Saccharomyces cerevisiae S288C: one gene and its partners. The gene in region 2 interacts genetically with the main gene of each other region. Each region holds a gene or a part of one and is shown on either strand. Other genes may lie near its edges.

Evidence for each region. A genetic interaction does not mean that the proteins touch.
Region 1: mutations in FLC2 (region 2) and BIG1 together harm fitness more than expected from each alone (negative genetic interaction), as found in Saccharomyces cerevisiae (2 studies listed by BioGRID).
Region 3: of FLC2 (region 2) and ALG11, changing one suppresses a phenotype caused by changing the other (phenotypic suppression), as found in Saccharomyces cerevisiae (one study listed by BioGRID).

Annotation. Positions count from the first base shown.
Region 1 is NC_001140.6:314,325-317,548, forward strand, and holds BIG1 (Big1p), read right to left. Parts: upstream 1,645-3,224; coding exon 1,535-1,644; intron 1,448-1,534; coding exon 550-1,447; downstream 1-549. Other genes in the region: GEP4 (phosphatidylglycerophosphatase), read right to left, coding at 1-349; putative serine/threonine protein kinase KIC1, read left to right, coding at 2,248-3,224. UniProt on the Saccharomyces cerevisiae protein: Required for normal beta-1,6-glucan synthesis.
Region 2 is NC_001133.9:44,246-48,777, reverse strand, and holds FLC2 (flavin adenine dinucleotide transporter FLC2), read right to left. Parts: upstream 2,880-4,532; coding exon 528-2,879; downstream 1-527. Other genes in the region: oleate-activated transcription factor OAF1, read right to left, coding at 1-214; ACS1 (acetate--CoA ligase 1), read left to right, coding at 3,756-4,532. UniProt on the Saccharomyces cerevisiae protein: May be responsible for the transport of FAD into the endoplasmic reticulum lumen, where it is required for oxidative protein folding.
Region 3 is NC_001146.8:536,606-540,368, forward strand, and holds ALG11 (alpha-1,2-mannosyltransferase ALG11), read left to right. Parts: upstream 1-1,567; coding exon 1,568-3,214; downstream 3,215-3,763. Other genes in the region: COPII subunit SFB2, read right to left, coding at 1-1,306; SLM2 (phosphatidylinositol 4,5-bisphosphate-binding protein), read right to left, coding at 3,306-3,763.

The DNA of each region.
Region 1 (3,224 bases), on a different chromosome or scaffold from region 2:
AACCTGGTTTCTTTGTAGAGTGCCGCAAAACAGGTATACCTGTCTTATCTTCCAAAAGTTTTGCTTGCGAATAGTCCTTATCAGAATTGGAACCGGCGGTATTGCTAACAATCAAGAGTGCTTTGTTAGAGTATTTCGACCTTAAGGTTTCCCAGTGTTGCAAGTAATCTGGCCATATTTTGTCATCATGAGGGAAGGCGATGCAGTTGTCCTTATCCAAGACCACGGCCTTTATAGAATCGTGGATTGGTATAGGAAGATCGTTAAAAGTGGGGACAACTAGACTAGGCTTACACAGTGATGGGTTATAAAGCAACCGGAGCGTATTTAAGGTGCCACTGATGTTCATGACTAGGTAGAGGAGACGATGTAATGTAACTGCCGCCTTTCAGTTTGGCCCCATATATATATATATATAAACAGACGGATAATTATATCATATTAAATGCGATAGCATAAATTTCTCGATGCGCATTGGTAAATTGTAGCATGGCGCGAAGTCTCTCATGGATAATTTTGCAAAGAATCGATGTATATAACGAACCATAATCAAGATACTTGCTGGGATGGCTTTTTCTGGATCTCTTGCACTTTTTTGAGCAGTTGTGGTGACGTCTGTTTCACGTTGTCCTTTTTATTAGTAATCTTCTCATCTACAATAGTTTTTTTTGTGAAAAAAAACTGAATAAGAATATACCCAACCAAAATTGTGAAAATCAGCTGTAATAAACCTCTGTTATTCTCAATTAATTGTGAATCAAATATTGAGACATACTCCGAAGGTGGCTCTGAAAATCGTGGAGTATAGTCATTAAACGACAGACGAGGCACATCCAAAACTCTATTATTTTGTTCCACTTCACCCACTCTGGATTTTATGTCAAAGATATCTGGAAATATTTGGATAGGGATGATCGACTCGTGAGCCAGCGTAGTTCCTGGGTTTAACGAGGTGTAAATGACATTTTGTTCTGGCGACGGAATCTGCGCCAGTATAGTCCTCAAATACTTGTCATAATGGCGGAATGCTTCTTTACGTTCATTAGTGTCCTCTGGTAACTTAGGGTACTCTATTATAATCACTCTTTTTTCGCTATCAATAAAGGGCTGGAAATCTTCTGTATTATTACCTCGTAAGTTCAACACCTGGTCTACGTTACAATACTCCTTTACAAACTCTGCAAGATCATAGTATAAATCTTGAGGCAATAGGTCTACCTTTTCGAACTTAATCGCGGTTGAACTCCGTCTTATATATCTCTGTAACGAAACAAACTCTGTTTCAAATTCCAAGAAGTCCAATTTCCTCAGGCCTGGTTGATTAATAAACACATAAGTGTCAGCATTACATACACCTAAGAATTTCTCAGCCGCTTCAATAAAGGTGTCTCTTGGTAAAGTCACAGCCCTATCATAATCCTCTTGATACTTTAAAATACCGGGAGTTCTATCCAAAAGTACAAATATGTGTATAACATCTAGTTAGTAAGAAAAATGAAAGTTACTAAAGATTAATGTTTCTTGTTCTACATACAGTTTGTAAGAGAAGAATATTGCAGGAACATTGGTCTGGTTTTGCAATTCCTCCGAAGCACAAAAGCTTCCACACATAATAAGCAACAAATATTTCAACACAGTTTGCATCTTGCCTTGCTACTCCTAATTAGTATGCGCCTACGTTTCCTAACTACAAAACAGATAGGTATAACCTGCAACTTAACCTCCGCTGCTGATATTCTTGGCCGTAGTTAAGAGAGGTTTACATTACTACAGAGCTAACCCGTGTTGCATGATATCATCGATATAATTAAAGAATGCACATATGTCAGCGGTACTATCGCATACAATGCTCTATCAGAACTCTAGATAACGTTAGAACATATCCTCCCAGGTTTCGCCACATCTGTGGCCTCGTTACTCTATTCGTTTCACTCTTTCTTATCTATTTACAGCCCATCGAGCAACATTATCATGCCACACGTCGATCTCAGGCCGATCTGACAATCTTTAAAGGCATCAACAAGAGCAGCAGCTTGCCGACGTGGCAAAAGTCAAAGAAGAACAGAGGCAACTCGTCCTACGTGAAGCCACATACAACAAGTTAGGAACTATTAGGCGGAACCGCTTTCTAAGGAGCTTACTACTTTTAACAGTACTACTTTTAACAGTACACAGATAAAGAAACAAAAAGTATAAATTTGGGCGCCATCGACTGGCAAGCAAAACACGTATAGAGAACAGGCAGTAATGACGACGAAGCCACAAAATAGTAAGCAGGGTTTAGCCGAAGGAGAGATGGATGTGAGTTCACTTTTCAAGAGAACGGAAGTTATTGGGCGAGGGAAATTTGGTGTGGTTTATAAGGGCTATAACGTGAAGACTGGACGAGTGTATGCTATCAAAGTCTTAAATTTAGATTCTGATTCTGACGAGGTGGAGGATGTGCAGCGAGAAATTCAGTTTTTGGCCTCCTTGAAACAGATTTCCAATATCACGCGGTATTATGGGTCGTATTTGAAAGACACAAGCCTTTGGATCATAATGGAACACTGCGCTGGTGGTTCACTGCGTTCGTTGTTAAGGCCAGGCAAAATCGATGAAAAGTACATTGGGGTTATTATGAGAGAACTGCTTGTAGCATTAAAATGCATTCATAAAGATAACGTCATTCATCGAGATATCAAAGCAGCAAACGTTCTGATCACTAACGAAGGTAATGTTAAACTATGCGATTTTGGTGTCGCTGCACAAGTAAACCAAACTTCTTTACGACGTCAAACTATGGCTGGGACCCCCTACTGGATGGCTCCAGAAGTGATCATGGAAGGCGTTTATTACGACACTAAAGTAGATATATGGTCTTTAGGTATTACAACGTACGAGATTGCCACCGGAAATCCGCCATACTGCGATGTGGAGGCCCTAAGGGCAATGCAACTAATCATCAAATCGAAACCACCGAGGCTTGAGGACAGATCATACAGTACATCTTTGAAAGAATTTATTGCGCTTTGTCTTGATGAGGATCCAAAGGAGAGATTGTCAGCAGACGATCTTTTAAAATCAAAATTTATCAGGGCCCACAAGGCGACGCCAACGTCCATTTTGAAAGAACTAATATCACGATATCTACTATTTAGGGACAAGAATAAAAACAAATATAAAATAGAGGGCAGTATACCGGAAAATGAGCCATCAAAACCCAGTGAAGCTCCAAAACCATC
Region 2 (4,532 bases):
ACTTCCTACAAGCCTGGCAGACAAACAATATTCTATTTCTTTTCCTATTATGTGTTTCGGAGTTCTCGGGGGCAGGCGATGTGCTTGAGTGCTCAGCTTCTAATCCAGGCGTTGGGTTATTGAACCCTAAGAAAAACGCCTCCGAATATGGCTTGGTAGAGCTATTATCATCATTTCCGGCATGTGGGGCCTTCTGCGTACTATTTTCGACCATGACTTACGCAACCTAATCTATTATTAACCTGCTTCTAACACAAAATAGCCAACAGTAAATCCCTTCTGGAGGATCTGTTTCCTTCTCTACACGTCAAAAAAGATGTCAGAAAAAAGCGGCAATTGCGTACATTTAAGGAAGCAGAGCCAAAGCGAATTTCACATTTAAGGTTTTTATCGCTGAAATATGTGTGGTGTTGGGATGTAATGGAGATAATACACCTTTTTGAGCGGTTTTCTATGAAATATAATGTAGGATATCCTTGCCCTTAAATATTTATATAATAAGTTGTTACATGTGAGTATATATTGGATTACAAATATGGGTTGTTGTTGCGGGCGTTTTCGTTGCTGCCGTTGTTGTTAAAATGCGAATATGATTTATTGGAATTCCCCAGGTAGAGACTTGATTCAGGCTTCATTAAACTGGAGGTGCTTGTATTATTCGGCGCTAGATTAGTACGAGAAGCAGATGACGCACGTTGGTACTGTGGAGACAAGAAGCTGCCACCCGTACCCATGACAGCGGAGGTTGGTTGCACAGGTTGCTCCGTTACTTCCGAGGCATCGAAGGGAGAGGAATTTTGCTTAAAAGAGGATGAACTAGTCTCATCATCAAAGAGTCTTGCTGTATTTGTGTTTGCATTCAGGTTCTTGCCGAAAGTGTCGTCACGGAACATTTTTTCTTCCTCATTTTCATTGGTGTCCATAACAGCTTTTCTCAATTCAAACAGTTCAGAATCATTTTTGTTTTTGCCATCGAAATCATTTTGAATCTTAGGAATGAATGACACACGGTCATCTTTCATTGGTTGGTAACGGACATCTGGGTTTCTGTGTAGTAATGCCAGTGTACAGGTGACAATAGTGAACAATAATAGGAATAGAGCAAACACCGCGTTCAAAACGAACAGAATAACCGCCATCACTGACGAAACCACTGCTGGTTGCTTGAACAAATTACTGAAAAACAAAAAGAAAAATGCATTGATCAAATTCACCAAATGAATAGCAATATTGAAAACATTAGTTCTCTTGTCCAAATATGGTCTTATCCAACAGAGACAAACGAAGTAAGCTAGTTCAATGACAAAGATGATCATTGCTTGAGCCTTACCTTGGTTTTGTAAAACGGCAACAAACAGGGATCTTAAGAACGCATAACTTAATAAGGGTAAAAGCCACCAAAACTTATCTGCTTTGAATTGAACGTATAAGAACCCAAACTTGTTCAAGAAGTAGGTATCACTGTAAAGTAGGTACGCAGGATTCTTGTATAATCTGAGAGACTCTCTTCCCTTGATGAAAACCCTTATAGTTCCATAAACCAGAAGTCCCGTGATGATCAGTAATATTACTACCGCATCAACAACAATCGCTGGAGAGTTGACCTGAGTAAATTCCCAAATCGCCAGAAGAGAAACTTGAGGGAAGGCGATGATAGATAATCTGAAAAGGGTGCCTTTGATAATACTCCCCCAGTTCTTCCTATATTGGAAGAAATTGGAAGTCTCTTTCAATATTCTTGCTCTTGTAAGAACTTCCAATAGCGCCTTAAAGAAAATCAAAGAGACGACAACTACAAATAGGAAGAATAGAAAAAACACAATACCGGTCAAAAAGAAATTAGATAGCTCAATATTAGCCAAATAAGCAACTCTTTCTATACCTCTTAACACGAGAATCTTGGCTGAGTAATTGCTTGGATCCTTCTCAGAAGTGGTGTACAGATTCGAATCGTCTAAAATGGTGTCAAAATTGTAATCACTAGACGATGCCATAGAGATAGCACGTTTTTGCACACTAATGGACAAGACGTCCTTGTTAGCTACCACAACATTTGAGACACCATTAGTGGCCTGTACGTACCAATCAAAAATCTTTTGCATGAAGTTTGTATTGATGATACCCATGGACCATTGGAAATTCTGCGTCCACGCGGCAGCAATGGGTGGAACCCTTGAGACACCCATCATTGCAGTGATAGCTAGATTTTGGAAGTATATGAACAATGAGATGGAGTTGGACGCAATGTGAGCAGCAGTGGCTGAGTAACCGATCACAGACACAAACCCTGAGGTAAGTACACCGACACCTGAGATAGCGGCAATGGGCCAGGCCGCATACTTTGTTTGCACTGTCTTCCCGTTACTCAAGATAGCCTGGACACAAGCCAGCGGAGTTTCGAATTCCGTGTCATTCTGAGCGTATGCCACCACACGTACTTGTGCGTCCAAATCTGGAATGGTGTAAGCAATGCCGGGAAATTGCTTGGTAATGGATGATTCGATCACCTGTGTGGACATGACATCAATACGCCCAGCACTTAGGGGGCAAAGCGATACTTGGCCCAAGGAACATAAATCAAAAGTCTTATCCAGGACTTTCAGTCCGTAAGTAAGCAGCTCAGCCTTCACAGTGACGTTCCCATTAAGCGTCGTCGTAGCGTCAATATCAAAGATAACAGTATTATTATCGGGGTAAAATTTCACATCAAAGAATGATGCCGTTAATTGCGAATTGTCCATACACGTCAATAAAGAAGTGGTCTGCAAATGCTTTGCAGACGCCGGAGTAGTGTCGTTTGTGTCAGAGGAACGTGCTGTACCGCTGCACAGTACGAAACACGTTAAAAGGCACCTTGCGAAGGTGTTTAGGAAGATCATGGCTATATAATCTTTTTATCACGTCAATATAATCGTAATGAAACAGAAATGAATGTATTATAATACACTGAAACACGGTATAGCGCAGCAAATTGTTTTAGTTTAAGGGGTATAAATGTTTTCCAAGGGTGGTGTTCTATATATATATGCCATTCATATACTTTTAATAATGTTCTATACGTATTCCCGTGAAGGCATTAATGATTATCTTTTTCTTTAAAAATGCAAGATGGCTGAGTAGTCGCGCGAAAAAAAAAAAAAAAAGAAACAGCAAGGTTAATTTTAGAATACCAACAGGAAAAAAGAAAAGATTATCCTCCCAGAAAAACAATCTGTTTATTACCCGACATTCTTAAAAAAACAAAAGCAAATCACATGTGCACATACGTCCAGAATGATATCAAGATAAATGGCACGTGTATGTACGGCTGTGTAAATATGATAATCATCTCGGACGAACGGCGTAGCACTCTCCATCCCCTAAAAATGTTCACGTGTGACTGCTCCATTTCGCCGGATGTCGAGATGACCCCCCCCCCTCAAAAGGCACTCACCTGTTGACATGCCGTGGCAAATGATTGGGGTCATCCTTTTTTTCTGTTATCTCTAAGATCCAAAGAAAAGTAAAAAAAAAAGGTTGGGGTACGAATTGCCGCCGAGCCTCCGATGCCATTATTCAATGGGTATTGCAGTTGGGGTACAGTTCCTCGGTGGCAAATAGTTCTCCCTTCATTTTGTATATAAACTGGGCGGCTATTCTAAGCATATTTCTCCCTTAGGTTATCTGGTAGTACGTTATATCTTGTTCTTATATTTTCTATCTATAAGCAAAACCAAACATATCAAAACTACTAGAAAGACATTGCCCACTGTGCTATGTCGCCCTCTGCCGTACAATCATCAAAACTAGAAGAACAGTCAAGTGAAATTGACAAGTTGAAAGCAAAAATGTCCCAGTCTGCCGCCACTGCGCAGCAGAAGAAGGAACATGAGTATGAACATTTGACTTCGGTCAAGATCGTGCCACAACGGCCCATCTCAGATAGACTGCAGCCCGCAATTGCTACCCACTATTCTCCACACTTGGACGGGTTGCAGGACTATCAGCGCTTGCACAAGGAGTCTATTGAAGACCCTGCTAAGTTCTTCGGTTCTAAAGCTACCCAATTTTTAAACTGGTCTAAGCCATTCGATAAGGTGTTCATCCCAGACCCTAAAACGGGCAGGCCCTCCTTCCAGAACAATGCATGGTTCCTCAACGGCCAATTAAACGCCTGTTACAACTGTGTTGACAGACATGCCTTGAAGACTCCTAACAAGAAAGCCATTATTTTCGAAGGTGACGAGCCTGGCCAAGGCTATTCCATTACCTACAAGGAACTACTTGAAGAAGTTTGTCAAGTGGCACAAGTGCTGACTTACTCTATGGGCGTTCGCAAGGGCGATACTGTTGCCGTGTACATGCCTATGGTCCCAGAAGCAATCATAACCTTGTTGGCCATTTCCCGTATCGGTGCCATTCACTCCGTAGTCTTTGCCGGGTTTTCTTCCAACTCCTTGAGAGATCGTATCAACGATGGGGACTCTAAAGTTGTCATCACTACAGATGAATCCAACAGAGGTGGTAAAGTCATTGAGACTAAAAGAATTGTT
Region 3 (3,763 bases), on a different chromosome or scaffold from region 2:
CTTTACACGACAGTAGCTGAGAGCTTTCTTTTGGTGTGTTTAATATGCCCTGTTCACTTCTTTTTTTCAATTTCCCGATGCCAGTATTTGGTAAAGTTGATGAAATGACTTCAACTTTGCCTCCAGTGCTTTTTATCAAATTTGACGCAGCTTTTAGGGCAGGTCCAAGTGCAAACTTGCTACTGTGTGTGTCTTGAAAAATTTCAGGTATCTTTTTCAACAATGTTTCCAGATTATTTTTACAATATTTTAGTGGAACTACTAATTCATCACTCGGCATTGGTAAAAATGGTTCATCCAAATCGCCAATATCAAACATTTGAATTGTTTCTGAATTATCAACGTCTTCCTCTTCCTCGTCTTCATCTTCTTCTTCACCATCTGATTCTTCATCATCCTCATCCGATACTTCATAATCATCATCCAAAGGAACGTAAAAATAATGAAGGCTATGATCAACACATATAATAGCAATTCTGGTCCTTCCATCATGATTTGGTAGAAATTCTATGTTTTCTAAAATGGTTCTGGCAGAAGTAGCCAATAAACCATTTTTGACAGCGTTTTGAGAAACATCTAAAAGAAATACATAAACAGATGGTGGGGGTTCCCTAACAGAATATTCTACGGGAGCCAAGTAATCCACGACAGAGTTTTTAATTTCGTTTCTTTCATATCTGTTGATTGGAGCGCCTTGTAAGTTCTGATCAAACCCAAATGGGACATCATTTTTGAAACGGCATATATTACATTGCCATTTTCTCCCTTGGTTAATGAAAACGACAAAAGGGTTCATATATGAACGACAACGGCGACAGCGGACAATGACTCCGTCAGTATTTAGCGGTACTTGGTTGTCTGAATCTTGCAAATGCAAATATGGTCTAATAACAATGGCAAATGGTAACTTCGTTTTCTTCAGCAGAGAGTTTGTTTTTGGCACCGCTTTCAAAGTAGATCTGACGTACTGGTATGGAACATTTGAATATTCGGATGGAGTCACAATGTTATCCTGAGAAATGGTGATTGGAAGAGGTGGTAAAGACAGGTCACGGATTGGCGGAGGTAATTCTGTAAACAAATCCACAGGGTATAGTTGATTGACCACTTTCCCAGAACCAGGAAACTGTTGATTTTGAGCTAGCTGTGTAAATGAGTTAGCCCTATTGTTCAATTGTAGGTTGCCCATTGCATAAGCTGTTTGGTCGATTTGTTGTTGAGACTGCTGTTGCTCTGCAACTATTGGCATACTTGCAATGTATGGCACCTGAGCTTGAGGGTACACCCTCTTCTTATGATGAGACATTATTCACTGCAGCTGTCGATCATTAATGGAAGAAGGTTCATCAACCAAGCACACTGCAAATGAAGGGTTAGATGAAGAGTTCGACGAAGACCCTTTTAACTGACGTATCATTCATCGTTGTCATCGCTACATCTATGTCCTTCGGGTAAGCTAAACAAAAAGTGAAAAGTTCAATAAATAATAAGATTGAGAGGTAAGTGAAGTGAAGATAGATGTTAGTATCCAAGTGTGACCAACATGTTCAGGTGATTGCAGGCGAAAATGGGCAGTGCTTGGACAAACTACAATTTTGAAGAGGTTAAGTCTCATTTTGGGTTCAAAAAATATGTTGTATCATCTTTAGTACTAGTGTATGGACTAATTAAGGTTCTCACGTGGATCTTCCGTCAATGGGTGTATTCCAGCTTGAATCCGTTCTCCAAAAAATCTTCATTACTGAACAGAGCAGTTGCCTCCTGTGGTGAGAAGAATGTGAAAGTTTTTGGTTTTTTTCATCCGTATTGTAATGCTGGTGGTGGTGGGGAAAAAGTGCTCTGGAAAGCTGTAGATATCACTTTGAGAAAAGATGCTAAGAACGTTATTGTCATTTATTCAGGGGATTTTGTGAATGGAGAGAATGTTACTCCGGAGAATATTCTAAATAATGTGAAAGCGAAGTTCGATTACGACTTGGATTCGGATAGAATATTTTTCATTTCATTGAAGCTAAGATACTTGGTGGATTCTTCAACATGGAAGCATTTCACGTTGATTGGACAAGCAATTGGATCAATGATTCTCGCATTTGAATCCATTATTCAGTGTCCACCTGATATATGGATTGATACAATGGGGTACCCTTTCAGCTATCCTATTATTGCTAGGTTTTTGAGGAGAATTCCTATCGTCACATATACGCATTATCCGATAATGTCAAAAGACATGTTAAATAAGCTGTTCAAAATGCCCAAGAAGGGTATCAAAGTTTACGGTAAAATATTATACTGGAAAGTTTTTATGTTAATTTATCAATCCATTGGTTCTAAAATTGATATTGTAATCACAAACTCAACATGGACAAATAACCACATAAAGCAAATTTGGCAATCCAATACGTGTAAAATTATATATCCTCCATGCTCTACTGAGAAATTAGTAGATTGGAAGCAAAAGTTTGGTACTGCAAAGGGTGAGAGATTAAATCAAGCAATTGTGTTGGCACAATTTCGTCCTGAGAAACGTCATAAGTTAATCATTGAGTCCTTTGCAACTTTCTTGAAAAATTTACCGGATTCTGTATCGCCAATTAAATTGATAATGGCGGGGTCCACTAGATCCAAGCAAGATGAAAATTATGTTAAAAGTTTACAAGACTGGTCAGAAAATGTATTAAAAATTCCTAAACATTTGATATCATTCGAAAAAAATCTGCCCTTCGATAAGATTGAAATATTACTAAACAAATCTACTTTCGGTGTTAATGCCATGTGGAATGAGCACTTTGGAATTGCAGTTGTAGAGTATATGGCTTCCGGTTTGATCCCCATAGTTCATGCCTCGGCGGGCCCATTGTTAGATATAGTTACTCCATGGGATGCCAACGGGAATATCGGAAAAGCTCCACCACAATGGGAGTTACAAAAGAAATATTTTGCAAAACTCGAAGATGATGGTGAAACTACTGGATTTTTCTTTAAAGAGCCGAGTGATCCTGATTATAACACAACCAAAGATCCTCTGAGATACCCTAATTTGTCCGACCTTTTCTTACAAATTACGAAACTGGACTATGACTGCCTAAGGGTGATGGGCGCAAGAAACCAGCAGTATTCATTGTATAAATTCTCTGATTTGAAGTTTGATAAAGATTGGGAAAACTTTGTACTGAATCCTATTTGTAAATTATTAGAAGAGGAGGAAAGGGGCTGATGTTTTTTGAAAATAGAAGCCTTGTTTATGAGAAAACTTATACATAATATTACATACAAACTAGAGCATTACTATATAATTAACTTACTTGTCACAGCTGATTGCTTTTTCTAGGGGAATCTACATTTTCAATGTAAAATTCAGGAACCCTATTCTGAATTTGTGAATCATTCGTTTCCGGTATCGATGACGTGGTGTTAGTGATTGTCAAATTGTCTAATTTTGGAATGGAATTCAAGGGAAAATTGCTACTACTCACATCATCGTATCTCGTATGTTGCTCATTAGTTACCTGGGGGGTCACGCTCTCCGTGGTGTTTTCATTACTCTTGGCTTTTTCTTTAGACAGTTTGGCAACTTTACTCACATATTTGCATTTGTCGTCATAGTTGGGCAAACTTGATAAGGCTTTGATATTTCCAAACCATTCTATCATATCGTCATAAGAGTCTACTTTGAATACCCAGTTGTGACCCCTATGTATTAGTCCGTTAGAATTCGTACGCAATATAAACTTGTTCTTGCCCTGCTCTGAGTTGGATTTCGTCT